Caenorhabditis elegans: one gene and its partner. The protein of the gene in region 1 purifies or fractionates together with the protein of each later gene. This does not show direct contact. Each region holds a gene or a part of one and is shown in the gene's direction. Other genes may lie near its edges.

Region 1 (9,082 bases):
GCGATGATCTCTGTGGCTGCCTCCACGGTGTCGAGGGATGAAGAATGGATTCTCAAGATACGAGTTTCCATTTACCGGTCCGTAACTCGGCTTCCCATGATGATACTTACGCCTTCTGTCGAATTTTGGTTTCAGACGAACGTTCTCATCAAATGGACTGACGATGGTATCCGATGGAGGCCCGTAAGAGTTGTACGCAGGAGCGGCGGGAACAGTGATTGGTTGACATTGTGGCAAATCGAACACGCACATAACGAGAGAGGACTCGAAGAGAGTGTTGACTGGACATTGCTTTGAACGCACCGAGTTGTTCTGACAACGATTGAATCGTGACGAACACATCCCGAAGGAGTTGACTTGTCCCTCCTGACAAACGAACGGAGTTTGCGTCGTTGTTGTCGTTGTCACGGCATCAAATCCAGTCGTAGTTGTCTCAATAGCATCAATTGAAGGTGTTGTTGTTGTTGAGATGACATCAGCGGAAGTTGTTGAGCTGTATTCACTGTCATCTTCTTGCGGTGTTGTGATTGTAGAAGTTGAGTACGATACAGTGGTCGTTGGATCATCGGTCGTGCATTGGAAATCGCAGGACTCTGAAAAACGAAGAAATTAACATAATACTCGATCACGTGCACTTACGTTGATTGATATTGAAAACTGTTCCCGGTGGACAGTATCTCTGGAACACCATGTTGTTGCTGCATGAGTAGAATACGTCATTGCAACCGTCGGCGTAGTTTCCGTCTTCCAGACCGTTGCAATCGAAGTCAATTGAATCCGGCTGCTCGTTCGACGGTTGACGTTCGTAATCTCCAGCAATCTCACCGGAAGCTTCTCCGTATCCTTCTTCACCATCTTCGTAGACTTGTGGTGCAGTAGTTGTGTCCTGTTTCACTTCGTCGCAAGATTCACGACAATCTTGGGTTCTTTCGTTAAAGACCAAGCTATCAGGACATTTCGCCATGTAGGCTCCGCCGGCGACGCAGCTGATAAACTGGTTAGAGCAGCCAATGGAGTAGATGCCATCCTGTTTCGATGTGCAGTCGAATTCCGCATATGGGGTGTCATCTTCTTCAGTGTTTTCATCTACTCGACATTCTGGAGATTCGTCGACTGGCACACATTCGTCTTCGTAGAAGACAGAATCATCGCTGCAGGTGGCTGCTTGCCTGACTCCGTTCACACATATCGAGTACTGAAAATAAAGAATTATATTTGAAACGGAGGGCTACTGGTTTACCTCCCGACTGCATGCATTTCCTGCTATGTTTCCGTTGAAGTATGCAGGGCATTCTGTGGCTGCTGGTGAGTGCGGGTATTGAATAGAATTCGAAACTGGAAAATAAAAATATTTGATTGAAAAGAAAGAGGCAGAAACTCACAAAATGTTAGTAGAAGCAGCGAGACGGTGGCTAGCTGTGGCCCCATCGCCTGAAATTGATAACAGTTAGAGGATGAATATTTTAACTTAAAAGTTTTACGAAATAAAAACAGAAAAGGTTCAAAATGGTCGCCATTTCAGGAGAAACTAATAAAAATTAGAGCTAATGAAGAAGGAATGAAATGGAACATTCGAGGTTGAAAACTCAATCCAAAAAATTTCCCGCTCGAGCCTAAAACTGGGGTCAAATAATTTTTGATCTACTGCACTTTTACATGTCTGAAATGGGTATTGGCATACATTTGCTCAATTTTATTCTTTAAAAATTAATTTTAGATCATAAAATTAATGAAAACAAACAAAATATTATGAGAAAATTCAAGATATTTTCAAAATTAAGAAAAACTAAAGAATTGTGCGGCCCAAAAATAACAGAGTACGGTATTAGTTAGCAATCGTGGCGAGACCCAACTAACAACATACATGATCCTTTAATACCAACCGTTTCCATTTTCCAAAATATGTTTTTTTGGTTGATTTAATTTTAATTGCATCCAATTTTTTGTTAATTTTCTGAAACAAAAAAATTAACTTCTAAAAATTCATAGTCGGTTTAAATAATTATAACTTTAAATAGAAAGTTTGGACATTAGCGGCTTACTTGACTACGGTATGCAAAAGTACGCAAAGACACTTCACGTCGTTTTGCAGATCCACGGAAAATCAATTTTTTTTTTGATTTTTAAAATCATCGTTTCGTTTTCCTTCGGGAATAGCGAAATTAAGGTTTTTAATGAACTTTTTTCCTCGCTTCTTTCAATAGCTATTAGTAGAATTTGTGTATTCTCTGTTTTCTCTGTCCGCGCGACATAACTTGAAAAAACATTGTCTGATTTCTTAAACATATAACAATTAGTGTTTTATTTTCTTTTTGATATTTTTCTTAAACATTTTTAAATAAGAAGCTTCTATTTTTTCGAAAATTGGTGCGATGAGTTCACTTTTTGATATTGAAATATTTTGAATTACTCCTCCCAAATTGGGAGTCCCAATTTTTATATGCGGAACATTCTAAGGAACATTCATTCTGCCATTTTTCTTTTCCGTTCGATATCGGTGTTTCTAGCTGTCTGAATTACATCAAGACTACTCTTTTAAAAACTTTCACTTCCTCCTATTTGTTCGAGTGCAAAGGAGCGCACTTACTCCCTGTTCAGCTGCTCTCATTCATCCACGTCAACGTTACAGCTAAAGTTACAACAATTGCTCATTAAACGGAACACGATCGATGAGCTCGAAGCTCTACTCACGTTCCGGCGTATTTGTCTGGAGTCCACGTGGAATTCAGAAAAAGGTAATTAATCAATCTTCGTCTATAATTGAAATAAATCAAATTTTCAGGGCTTAATTGTTGCTGATTTCGCTCAGTTTTTTGACCCGACTGCAACATCAATCGAACCAAAGATCGATTTTTTGCCAGCAAGTGAGATATATGAAAAATCGAATTTGGCCCCGAATGTGTCGCATGCCACTAATTATCGGTGAGAATTATAATGTGAAGCGGTATAGTGTATTTCATAATTTTAGATTCAATGAATTAGCCTGGACTTCTCTGTGTTCCGATGCACATCCGAACGGAATAATTGCTGGCGGTACAGAGGACGGAACTGTGGTATTTTTTGATGCTGATAAATTTATCAAGAATCAATCACTAGAAGTTCTTCTTTCTCGAAGAGATCATCATGGGCATGTTCTCACTATTGATGTTTCCAGGGACGGCAGGTATGAAATGAAAGTTTACAAGAACAATTCAAAAAAATAATTTTTAAGATGGATGGCTTCTGGTGGAGGCTCAGGACAAATTCTTCTCTGGGATTGCGCAAATCTGAAAACACCATTCTCTCCCGGTTCGCCAAATTTCCCAGATCAAGTGAAACTTCTTCGCTGGAACTTGAAGAACGAGTCTGTGTTTGCTTCCATATCGTCCAGAAGAGTCAGTTTTTGGGATTTGAGAAGAAATGGATCGCCGGTGTTAGAATTCGCAGAGGTTGGATTTTCAATTGCCTGGTGGCTATTAAAGTTCTATTTGCAGATTCCTGGCTGTGATTGGTCTTCGCTCTCTTGGAATCCTTCGGACGCCTCACAACTTATAGTTTCCAGCCAATCTCAACACGCCTCTGTTATTCAGAAATGGGATTCGAGATTCACTTCAACACCAGTTAAAGAATACAGACATCATAATATGGGAATTACGAGTGTTGACTGGTAAGTTTTTATTTAAAAGTTTGTTGATTATATAATAAAAATTGAGCTAGACAATTTATTTTTGTACAAAAAACTATATAAAAATTACGAAAAATATTAATACAGGAACAAAGCTGATGATCGTCTTGTAATTTCATCTGGCTGTGATGGACAAGTGGTTATATGGAATCACGAAACATCTGAGGTGCTTGGAGGTGTTGGAAGTCTTCAAGGAGACTGGATCCGAAATGTTAAATGGAATGAAGAGGAGCCATCACAATTTGCTATTCAATATTTCCAACATCCTGTTCAAATATCCTCATTGACTAGTCTTGGATCTCCGCAACCAGGAGCCGATGTACTTGCCGCTAGGATCTCCGATCAATTTGTTCCTGCATGGCACCGTGCTCCCTTAATTGGCTCATCAATAGCATTAGGTGGACGGTTGGCAACATTCTGGAAGTCCTACGATGCAATGACCCAACAATGGCACCATAATGTGGAAATTGAAACGGTATTGAAATTTTATAACAAATCTCGTTTTTGACTAGCGGGCCCTATGGGGCCCGCTAGTAGAGGTTGGGTTGGGGCGAGTCCGCTAGCTGGCGCGGGTTCTCGGCTTCGCCTCGAACGTGCGATTGGCAATGTTTTGGGTCTCGCACCGCAGGCCTACGGCCTGCGTGGCTTCCTGAACCAGTATAGCAGGCCTTCGGCCTGCTATAATAGAACAAAAATATGTAAGTAATCAAATATACTGTAGGGATAGTCAAAAAGGTTGCCACAGGCAAGAATTATTCAAAACAATTGCAATTGTATGTACATGTACACGTGGACAGCCAAAGACGACATGTTTGAGGGGTTTATGGTGGGGTGACGATGTGTCGAGTAGAAGAATATCTCCACTATATGACTGATAATTCAAATATGTTGATTTTTGGGAAGAGTTGGGTACCCAGGTGAGTTGAATAATACAACTACCACTGGCGGATGAGGGGAAGGAGGGGGCCGGGCAAAGACTTTTCAAACTTCGACGCGTCGTAACTTTGTTCATAGTAGGAATTGAAAAATTAAAAGTATATACTTGAACTCAGCGTTAAAAGGAGAATATGATAGCATTTGAAATTTTAGAAATTGGTGAAGAATGAACTTTTGAGCTTCCTAAGCATGGCCTGAAGCCTACAACTTCAGGAACGGGGCTCGAGGAACTCATGACCAAAAAATTTTAGTTTGTCTCGCTTCTCATAGCAAAAATAATAAGAATTAGGACATAAAATTCATTATCCAACAGAAAACTGGTCCAGGAAAAGAGGAAAATTGAAATTTCGAGGTCAAAAATTAAATAAACTAAATTCGTTGAAAATGATCGTAGAGGACTGTGCTTTCAGCTTGCATTCGGTATTTATGTACTAATTACGAATTTAACATAAAATCCCATTCGGTAGTGGAAAATTTTTTATTTTTCCAGCAAAAACGTCATTTTTTTGAGAAAATGCAGAAATTTGCGATTTCTGAAGTTATTTTTGACTTTTTTGTAAAAAAAATTATATTTTTGAAGAGTAAATTTCCTGAAAAATACGTTTTTCGAAAAATTTACCCCAAAAAGTGCCAAACTGACCGACTTACAGCCGAAAGAATCTCAAAAATCACTAATTTGCACACCAAGGGGTTGCGCACAATTTCATTGAAAAATCGTCAATTTATGCTTTTTTCGTAACTTTCCGGTTGGATAATGAGAAAACTATTTAGAAAAACGGAATCTACGTTAAAATTTACATTTGATAATGTAAAATAAAACAAAAATACGAACGTTAAACATGTTTTCAACGCAATTTTCGAAATTCCGGGATTTTTCGAGTCCGATTTTCAAATCATCATAACTCAGTTCAAAATTGATGAAATTGCAAAAACTAAAAATTTTTATCAATCCCAGATATACAGTTACCTTATCAAAAACATTTTATACTATGACCTCTAAACGTGTGCAAAAAAAGCGACACTACACGCGAAAAAAGTGATTTTTTCGTGTTTCATCAAGAATTTCTCTTAAAAGATGAAATCAAATCAAATAACCATTTAGATAATAAGATAGAAAAAGCGATTCTCTATTTCCTACAAAAAAGAAAATTAAAAAATGTGCAGGTACAGCAAAGTTACAGACGAAAGTGCACACCCAACTTTTTAAATTTTTTGTTACACTTTTTGCGCAAAAAGTGACGACCCTTGCACTTTCCGGATTTAATATAGGAAGAAGGCAGAAGTTTTTCTATTTTCAGATAGTTCCAGAAAACGATGTTGGTGTCAACGACATTGCTCAGTATCTACATATTAAGGATGATAAACGAAACTTAGGATGGTATCTTCATGAGAGGTAATTATATTTTCAGATTAAAATTATCAAAATTAAAAACTTCAGAGCATATGCCCCATCAAGCGATACTTCAGAAGAAGCAGATCTTACACGAAAAGTTTGGCTTATTCTTCTCGCGCTACAGGAAGGAGCTGGACGCACAAAGATGCTAAATTATTTAGGACTTGTAGAATCACAGGATGAGGAGTTTTCCGAGAAGAACGCAGCATCAGCAGTCTCAAATCCAAATATTCAACCTACGGCAATACCTGATAGATCTGCTCGTTCAACTTCTGTTGTTTCCGGCGCAGACACTGACATTGATATTCCGGAAGTAACAGTCATTGAAAGATGTTCTAGTGTTAATTGGTCGACTTTGGATAACTCAGGATGGGATCTTCTTCTTCATACAATTCGACAAGATCATCTTGAAGTCATTCGTGTTCTAATCTCCTCAAATCAACACGTAGCCGCAATGATGTACGCTGCTCAACACGAAACAGATCATTTGGCAATGATTCTTGATGATTATAATAAAAGTAATCGTTTTCGAGCTGTATATTGTAATTATAATTTGAAATTTCAGAATTCAACAACTCGAGTCCTCTATCTTCTATAATTCTTGCACTTTCATCGTCCTCGTCGGCTAACAAAACAGAAATCACTCCTTCAAAGCAATCATCTGAACAAGAGGTTTCTCAGCAAATTGGAAGTATTCTCCAAACTTTCCCCGATCAAAAGTGGTCAGAGCTTCTTGGCTTCATAATTGCTCACGAATCAAATGCGACAGATATCAGATTAGCAGCAAAATGCATTGGAAAGCGATGGTTGGAACAAGGAAGTTAGCGAATTTTAAAATAATACATCATAGATTCAATTTGTTTCCAGAACCTCTCCGTGCTTGTATTGCTTTTTTGATTGCCGGAGACATTGATCATCTCTTACTTGCCAATACATCCTTCACACTAGTGGATCGACTGAAACAGGCTTTAATACTTCATCAAGTATCGAAAGGTGCCAAGTATTCGGATGGATTAGAGAAGGTAGAAAAATCAAGATTATCTCCAAACTCGTAAACGATAATTTTTAGCTAATCATGAACTTCGCCAATGAACTTCTCATTCAAGGCGCAGGTTCCGTCGCATGGAATTTGGTTAAGTGGTCTCAAAATGGTTCTGCTGAAATGCAAGAGCTTCAATGGACTTGCTATAATGTTGCCGGAGGTCGAGATTGTACAGGGGATCAACCACCATTTAATCCGTTTGATGTCGCTCTACCTAGAGCTCAACAGCCACCCATTGTTCAACCGACACGGACATATCAACAACCGGCACCTATTCCCCCACCGGTATTTGTTAGTTTACTTTAAATTTATATATTTATCCAAAATTTAGAATCTCGTAAATGGTTTTAACCCGTATAATCCATCTCATTCTCAATGTCCACCACCTCCTATGGATTACTCGAATAATCGAAGAAATTCCAATTTGACACCAATGCCACCATCTTCCACTTTTTATCAGACACCATCATGGGATCATAAACCAGTGAGTTTTTATAATATCCGGAACAGAATCATAGTTTCTTTTCATTTCAGCCACCAACAATGCCAGCGAACATGCCACCATCTAAACCAGTTGCTCCAGTTACTCCCGGTTGGAATGATCCTCCTCCAATGGCTTTGAAGCCTACCACTGTTGCCCAGCCAAAGCAAAATGTGATGGAAATCAATTGGAAACCTATAGAAACTGCCCAAGCTCCTGGTGGAATGATGACTGGGCAGCAGTTGAACGGATTTGCAGGAGGGTATCAAAATGTGATGACTAATGGAATTCAAGGTAATACTCTAAATTCTTCAATTTGTGCATATATCTATATTTTCAGGAATGAGTATTCACAATCAACAATCATCTGCAGCGTCTTCAGCTTTTCCATCTCCAAACTCTTATCAACAGAGACCGGCTTCTGCAGCATCCGTTGTAGCTCCAGCTCCAATCCAATTATCACCGGAAGATGAGAAAATTATTGAACCCATTAATACATTGGCTCAGTGTATCATTGAAAATGCCAGAATTCAGGCTAGAATGGAAAAAGCTCAGGATTTGAGAACTCGTATTCAGGCAGAGCTCTCACCGCGTCTTGCTGCGAATAGGGTACGGTTTCATTAATTTTCAAAATAATTTGAAATCTAAATATTCAGTTGTCTCCCGAATCGAAGCAGCATCTAACTCATATGGCTTACTTTGTTTCCATGCGGCAGATTCGTGAAGCTCAAGCAGTTGTGGCACAAATGGCACGGAATTCAGGAGATTTTGTTGAGGTGAATTTTGTATTATGATTTATTTAACAAAAATGGAAAGCCAATTCGTATTGTTTTATATGTAAAGCACAGTGAATTGTTCTCCAAAAAGAAATAATCTCTTCATTATCTTATTTGTTCAACTCGTCTTTTTTGCAGATTTCGTCGTTCCTTCCGGCTCTAAAGTCGCTTCTTTCGCTCGCCTCTCATTAATCTTCTCCGCGTCATAATGAGAGTGTTGCCTTCATTGTTATGTGATTTTGATTATCAATTATCAAAAATGCCAACATTTTGAATATATTATATTTCATTTGCTTCGTGTGTAAAATCGTGTAAACTGTTTTGTCCCAAATAATTATTGCGTGTAATACGACTTTCCAATACCCCCAAAAATTCCTGCCAATACTTAAAATTAGATATTGCTTTATAGTCCCAAATTTTCTTACTGCTTTGTAATCATTCTTTGTTGTAGTCATAATATTTATTTATTCGATTTTAAAGTACTTTATAAATAAACGAGTTTTTTTCCCACATATTATAATTTTATATCCGTTTTTATTTCGATTTCAGACGGCAAAAATCCCTATTGAAATATCTTATTCTCTTCCAATCCAGAAGAAAAAAGTATCAACCTGTTCAGTTTTGCGTAGTTTTACGATTTGATCGCTTTTGTTTACACATCTATAAATACACACCCTTTTCCGATTCGTAATAAGATGGTCAAGAGAAATGACACATTTAAAAATCTTAAATTTATATAAGAAAATTGATTATAATCAGCTTCAGACACTGACTGAATTAGTTTAAACGG
Region 2 (7,450 bases), 990 kb from region 1:
GTGACGACGAGCTTAGAAAATATTTGCTAACTTTATTTTCAATCTTCTTACGAAACCCGATTTAAATCATCCGTATCTAATTTCGGTGTTGATAAAATCTTGAAAACTTACACCGACCGACAAAAGTACTAACAGGTAGGTTAGAAAAAGTTAAAAAATAATGAATGATGCTCTGTCTGTGTCCGTGGTCGACAATGTACACGGCAGATGGCGGGCCCGCCGCGAAAAATCGATATTGAAGCGACCGATGATGATTTCATCAGAGATACACGCTGGCCACTGGCATAACCACATTTTTAATTTTTTTTTTTTGAAATTATTAAAGTCAACAGATAGTTTTAATTTATGAATTTATTTTATTTTAATTTTAAAATTTTGAATTTCAGTTTAAAAAATTAAAACCGTTTTTATGTTGATCTAAATAGTAATTTTATTTAATTAAATTTTCAAAATGTGATTTTAAAATTATTAAAAGGTAAGTTTGAGTTTTTCTAACTAAATTGTGTGGAATTTCTCTCGAGAATTGACACAAGATACATTTAAATGACACTTTTTCGGTTCAAAAAGTACCTTTTTAACACTCTGACCATTTAAAATACCGGTCATCCGCCAGAAGTGATTGTTTGGCTGAAATAGTAACAAAATATTGTTATTTTAAGAAACACAATTGGAGAACGGTGTCCGCTCTCACTCTGCGGTGGTGGCGGTCGCTCCAATAGAGGCTTGGCCGGGCGAACGCGGCGATGCCTGCGTATCTAACTACGGTATGCATTCAATGTTTTCTGCCAACCGCACTTTTTACAGAATCCAGGAACACCAGTTTCGGGGGAAGCTTTCACATTCGGAAACCTTTATCAAATTGACAATTTTTCATTTATATTACACTAAAACACTCAAAACACCCTCCATTATCGATTTTTGATCCAATTGCTGAGTTGGAACTTTCTTCTCACTTACTAATAAAACCTGTGTTGAACGCTATGAAAATTATTTAACATCTTGCTGATCTTCTCTCGCTTTGTTCATACGAGGGCCTCCCTCTCGGCGATATTCTTCCACCTCTTCTCCTATTTTTCGTACAGTAAATGTTCTTTTTTGTTCCGCTCCTCTGAATTATTTCAAGGATTACGTGGAAATTGAGAGTGAGAGTGAAGAGTAAAAGAGAAAGCGAGAAAACAGTGATTTTATTGATTTCAGCGCAAAATCCACGTTTCACAATGAAGCAGAAACCGACGACGCCAATGTGTGGCGAGAGAAGAAGGCAAAATGAAAAAGAATTTCCAGCGAGGCAAAGAGAAAGAGCGCGAGACGCTAGTGTCTGTGTGCATCGCGCGCTTGAGGTCGCCTTCCATGGCGTAATTCTTCGTGTTCAATGAGATACTCGAGCAAAATCAGAAAATATTGTCATAAATATTTTTGTTTACGTTGTAAAATCTATTCTAAAGATCGCCGGTGAGAAGAGAGTCGCGAAATTTCGAAGCGTTGCGAAGTTAGGCAAATTTCAAGAGCAATTAATTATTAAACGCTATAAACTTTGCTGAAAATGAAAATAATGACTTTAAAAACTGAAGTGAACATTTAAACGATATTTGCGCCAAAAATAAATTATATTTGTTCAGCAGTATGCTGGTTTTTCGCGCAAAAAAAATTAGAAAAAAATGTGATCACTGATTTTCTCTAGTTGTGCATTTGTTCGTCATTCTGTTTGCACCCATCTAAATCTACCGTACTCTCTGAAGTTATTGATTAAATTTCTTTCGCCACGTTCATTCGTCTCGTCAGCTAAATATTTATCTACCGTTGTGAACTTGTTTTATTTTGTTCTTTTCTCGCAATATAATTTCATTATACAATTTCAGCGGGTTACACGAGCTATCGACGGATGTCGAATATACCGACAGCGCCGGGAAACGTTGGATTTCCGCAGGCGTACGGTCAAAACCAGAATCAACAATATCAACACGTCCAACAATTCAGTCAGTTTTCTCAACCATCTGCGGCTCCGTTAAATAATGCTCCTCCCAATTATGCAGCCAATCCGTTTCCTTTTCCGACTGCAACGACTTCGCAAGAGCCGGTATGTATTGATTCTCATCTTTACTTTCATATTTCCATTTCCTTCCTTAATTTTCTATTTTCAGGTGAAACCCGTATCTCAAATCCCAAATGGAGCACCAAGTTATCAATATAACCATGCTGCGCCAAATTATCCAACTGCAGCTTCAGCTTTTCCAGCTCATTCTGCAGGATTTTCTCATCAACCACCGTCCTTTTCACCCGCTACTCAGCCTTCTATGAACGGCCATCATGCTCCACCACCACCAGCTGTGGTATGGTTAATACTGCATATACAGAAGAATTGAATGTTTTATTTCAGTCCCGACCGCCAGCGTTTCCAACTCCACCACCATCAGTTGGTTCAGCAGCTCCAAGTATTCAGCCTCCGATCCCATCTGCACTTGCTTCAGCCCGACCTGCTCCATTTCCTGCTGCTCAACCTCCACCGGCACCAACTCCAACGCCTTCTTATCAGCAACAAATGGCTCCACGGCCTCAAGCACCAGCTGCTTATCCTCCGGCTTCACAGCAACAAGGATATCCTCCCCAGCCACAGCAAAATTCACAGTATGGTCAACCACAAGTCCCACAACCTCAAATGCAAAATATGAATCAGCAATTTGGACAAATGGTTTATTCATATTTGTTATTTCCCCGTATAAAGTTGATTTTCAGAACATGAGCGGAGCTCCTGGTCCTCAGCAACAAATGGGCGGGTATCGCAATGATATAATTGATCTGATTGCTGAAAGAAATGTTCAACAACTTGGTTTTGAAGATATCGAGATTCAGATTCCTCAACAAGTCGCGAATCCGAATGCTCATGTTGATCCAAAGTGAGGATTTTCTCTTGAAGAAGGAATTCTGTTTGTATAAATAAACTCAAAATGTGGCCGAATGGACGAATTTCGTAGTGAGACTTCTCAAAAATGCCTTCGCTACTGGCTGATATCAGCTAAAATCTCGAATCGCAGCTGTCGGAATTTGACTTTTATTTAGTTTAAATCCTTTATTGCATATTTTGATCGATTATCTCGCATCAAGAAATTGGTTCATCTGACCAAATTTTGAGTCTATACAAGCAAAAATCCAGAATCGTTACTATTGCAGATATTAGAAATATTAATAATTTTCTCTTCAGTATTTTCCGCTCAACACTCGCCCAAGTTCCACAAACAGAAGAACTACTGAAAAAGAGTCGATTACCATTTGCAATAACACTTCATCCGTTCCGAGATGTTAAGAATCTCAATATTATACAAACATCGAATATTGTACGTTGTCGGTATTGTCGGACATATATTAATCCATATGTATATCTTCCTGATCATCGACACTGGAAATGCAATCTCTGTAATAGAAATAACGACCGTATGTTGACTGAAAAATGTGAAATTGAGAAAATGCGAAAACCATTTTTTGTTTTCAGTGCCTGATGATTTCTGCTGGGACCCAGTGACAAAAGCATTCGGAGATCCTCGAAACAGACCGGAAATTCAAAATGCGACGGTTGAATTTATTGCTCCATCGGAATACATGGTATTTTCATATTTTAAACGATGTTTTTCTAAATTTAAACAAGCGATTTCAGTTACGTCCACCTCAACCTGCTGTCTATGTATTCGTGATTGATATTAGTGCTGCAGCAATTCAATCAGGCTATTTACACACATTTGCCGAGCAACTTCTCATCAATATAGATCAAATGCCAGGAGATGATCGTTCTCAAGTGTGCTTCATTGCTGTCGATCAATGCTTGCATTTCTTCTCATTTTCTAGTAATAAGCGGTATCCGAATGAAATGATTGTAGACGATATCGATGACGCTTTTCTTCCATCAGTCACATCACTGCTTGTTCCTATGAAGAAATTCAAAGATACAATTCGAACTTTTATCAAGCAACTTCCCGAATTCTACTCTCAAATCGGCCCAACTTCAAATGGAAATTGCCTCGGATCTGCATTGAAGCTCGCGCAGAGCATGATACAAGAAGTTGGAGGAAGGATATCAATCTTCCAAGTCAGCCTACCAAATCTTGGATTAGGAGCACTGAAAAGCAGAGAAGAATCGACGGAAGGTGGTCAGAATTTGGGGCCAGCAACCGATTTCTACAAAGCTCTATCGTTAGAGTGCACCGGATCGCAGATTTGCCTTGATCTGTTTATGTTCAACACGCAATATGCTGATTTGGCAACTCTTTGTAGGTTTTTTTGGAGAATTCCTTTTATTGGTGAGGGGATGCTGTCAAATTTTTTAAAAACGAAAAACTGACATTTTTCAGATTCGGTGTATCAAAAAACCTCTGCAAATACAGTTTTTATCTTGATACCTGGAAAATTAAAAAAAAAAATCAAACAGTTAATAAATCGTAGTTAGATCGATTTTCCAAAATTTTTTTTCTCGATTTTAAGGTGTTAATTTGTAGATGCTGAATCCGAAAAAATTCCAGTTTTTCGTTAAAAAAATGTAGAAAATGTCTGAAACACCACAAATCCGGGGCAGCTTTCAAATTGTCTGTCAAATTTGAAAGTTAAATTCAAAATGATTGAAAATAATTCCATTTTCAGCTGAAATTGCAAAGTTCTCGACAGGATGTGTCTACCATTTCCCGAACTACAACTATCGAAATGATATCCATCAAGTAAAACGATTCGAACGGACTCTCACTCGATATTTGACACGAAAACTCGGATTTGAAGCAGTTCTTCGTATTCGAACGTCTCGTGGCCTCGCTCTAACCGGTTTCTACGGAAACTTCTTCGTCCGATCTCCAGATCTTTTGGCACTTGCCAACGTGAATCCAGATTCTGCACTTGCGGCTCAAGTGACACTCGAAGAGAAGCTTCCGCAATATGTATGCTTCCAGTCAGCACTACTCTATACATCGAGTAAAGGTGATCGTCGTATTCGAGTACATACAATGTGCCTTCCAACAACTGGTGATCTACTTCAACTTTACAATAATTTTGATCTGAAAGCTACGGTATCCTATCTGGCTAAAATTGGAGTAGAACGATCTATGACTGGAAGTTCACTTGCTGATTCAAGAGAAGCACTTGTAAATGCAGTTGTCGACAGTGTTGGAGCATATCAGAAGGCTGTATCGAGAGGAAGTGGAATGCTTGTTCCACGTGTCGGTCATCTTCGGCTCTTCCCAAGTTATGTGCTGGCTATGCTCAAACATGTAAGCCTTGATTTGTAAAAACTAAATAAATTTAAATAATTAATTTTCAGCCAGCATTCTCCTCGTCTCGTGGCATCCGCCTAGATGAACGAGCCGGCGCAATGTTGATGATGCGATTCAGTCCATTGGACCAAATTCTGTCTGACATTTATCCACGTCTCTATCGGCTCAACGAACTCGCCTCAATGCCAGAAGATCAGTCGCCACCAGCATTACCACTATCATTCGAGCATATCAGTCGTGGAGGTGTCTATCTGATGATAACTGGTACTATTGCCTTTGTCTACGTGGCTTCATCCGCAGATCCAGGTTTCCTGGTTAATGTTTTCGGAACTTCTACGTATAATGATATTGATGAGGTGAGATTTCAATTGAATAGTTTTAAAAACATTTTAAATTACAGTATTCCCTTCTGGAAAGAGATAATGAATTGTCGAGAAGAGTGCACGCGTTCTTCAAGCAAGTCACACAATTCCGATTCTATCTGGGACCAATAATAACGATTAAGTAAGTCTTTAATTTAACATTTATTGAAAAAAAAGTTTTTATTGATTTTCTAAATTTTTTTGCCAAATAAAAACTCAGAGCCGTTTGAAAAAATTTGCGATTTTCGATCTCAACACAACCAAGTATTTGTTTAAATGAAAAAGGATATACGCTTTTTAAAATTACTACTGTATTTTTTAAAGGCTACTCCAAACTCTATGTTTTGAGCGTGGTATACGTTTTTACACATTTCTAAAGAATTTATCGTATAGTTTGTGCAAATGTGTAAAATAACTTAAGATTTAAGAAACGGGTGAAAAACGTATTGTTATCAGCTACAGTACTCCCTAAAGGCGCATGCTTTGATTTGAATTTGAGGACGCTTCGAGACCGGGTATCGTATTTTGAAACATAAATCTTTGTAGAGTTTTGCTTTGAAAAATCTGAAATATCTCTTGAAAAGTTTCACTCAAAGCTTTGATGGAAAAATCAGATTTGCTCAAAAAATTAATTTTTGCAGAGAACACTCGCCTCTCCGTGACGTGTTTGTACGGCGACTTGTCGATGATCGGTCAGAATCAACACATTCATATGTAGAATTCCTGCAGCATTTGAAACGAGAGATTAGTGGTAATTAGTTGATCAATTTTCATCCTCCATGCCGTTCCCATCATCAGTCAGTTCATCCGTGTGACATATCCATTCCCTCTTTTTTGTTCCCGTTTCCCAACAGTGTCCCATGTCTTTTTTTGCTTTGGTGTTTTTTCTTTCTCCGTAATTATTATTATTATTGTTCTTATTTTCTCTTTTTTTTTTGAAAATTCCGTTCTTTCTTCAATGTGCTCGAGTTGAACGGATATGGGTTTATCAATTGATTTTGTGTTTTTTCTTTCTAGTTGTGATTATTCTCCCCGTCTCTTGAAAATCCTCTAAATATTTCAACCATTTTTGGCCCTGCCTCACCATACATTTTATTTGTCGCCCGTCTTCCAAAATTCTTCCAAAAATCGATAAAGTGATAAATACCAAAGTGTATTTCTAATTATTATTATTATCATTTTTCCTTCCCCTCAAATTTCCTGTTCAATCATCCAGCCGACCCCCGTTAGGATTTTAATGTTACTTTTTTCTTGGTTTTTCAAAATAGCAATATTTATTACGATTTTTTGTTGCTTTTTGCACTTTTGTAGCAAAAACTCATGTGAACAGTTTTATTATCAAGTTTTTTTTCCAAGGATCTATGGTTTTTGAGTTGAAAAAACATTGAATTTTGAAACAAAAAACCAAAACTATTATACACAAAAATAAATACTCGTTATGATTTTCCGGCTGATTGGAAAAGACATAAATAACCGGATCAATGAGACAAATATCACAGAGCTTGCGGAATTATATAATGGGGGGTCTCAGTTGGAGGGGGAAATATTGTTTAATGTCGAGATGTTGTCTGTTGTTCTTCTGGTGGAAATACGGCAATTGAATGTGGATGCACTTGATTTGGATTCGATGTGGCAACGTTCATTTCAATGTCACCTGAAAAAGATTATGCTCAATATTCAGAAATTGCTCGAATATTGTAGAATCAACGAAAAAGGATGGTGGTGCGGTAGAGCGCAGTTGCACGAGGAGTATTTTTGAAAAAAAGTTAATTACTAATTATTCATTCTGCAAGCAAAAAAATAATTTTGGTTCCTTGAAAATCGAAAAAAACCAAGCTTTCA

The links.
Region 2: the proteins of sec-31 (region 1) and sec-24.2 fractionate together in Caenorhabditis elegans (co-fractionation; one large-scale study listed by BioGRID). This does not show direct contact.

Annotation. Positions count from the first base shown.
Region 1 is NC_003282.8:11,365,340-11,374,421, reverse strand, and holds sec-31 (WD_REPEATS_REGION domain-containing protein), read left to right. Parts: upstream 1-2,629; 5' UTR 2,630-2,669; coding exon 2,670-2,735; intron 2,736-2,782; coding exon 2,783-2,922; intron 2,923-2,968; coding exon 2,969-3,163; intron 3,164-3,211; coding exon 3,212-3,428; intron 3,429-3,473; coding exon 3,474-3,646; intron 3,647-3,751; coding exon 3,752-4,139; intron 4,140-5,898; coding exon 5,899-5,993; intron 5,994-6,038; coding exon 6,039-6,511; intron 6,512-6,558; coding exon 6,559-6,813; intron 6,814-6,860; coding exon 6,861-7,015; intron 7,016-7,062; coding exon 7,063-7,320; intron 7,321-7,366; coding exon 7,367-7,519; intron 7,520-7,569; coding exon 7,570-7,810; intron 7,811-7,856; coding exon 7,857-8,125; intron 8,126-8,172; coding exon 8,173-8,292; intron 8,293-8,430; coding exon 8,431-8,484; 3' UTR 8,485-8,801; downstream 8,802-9,082. Other genes in the region: Chitin-binding domain protein cbd-1, read right to left, coding at 1-593, 640-1,195, 1,241-1,335, 1,383-1,428.
Region 2 is NC_003282.8:12,355,202-12,362,651, reverse strand, and holds sec-24.2 (uncharacterized protein), read left to right. Parts: upstream 1-1,859; 5' UTR 1,860-1,882; coding exon 1,883-2,077; intron 2,078-2,141; coding exon 2,142-2,330; intron 2,331-2,377; coding exon 2,378-2,689; intron 2,690-2,733; coding exon 2,734-2,894; intron 2,895-3,199; coding exon 3,200-3,429; intron 3,430-3,487; coding exon 3,488-3,597; intron 3,598-3,649; coding exon 3,650-4,259; intron 4,260-4,626; coding exon 4,627-5,243; intron 5,244-5,293; coding exon 5,294-5,602; intron 5,603-5,646; coding exon 5,647-5,750; intron 5,751-6,249; coding exon 6,250-6,367; 3' UTR 6,368-6,950; downstream 6,951-7,450. Other genes in the region: ZC518.8 (Glutathione S-transferase), read left to right, coding at 744-764, 805-888; best-22 (Bestrophin homolog), read right to left, coding at 7,159-7,262.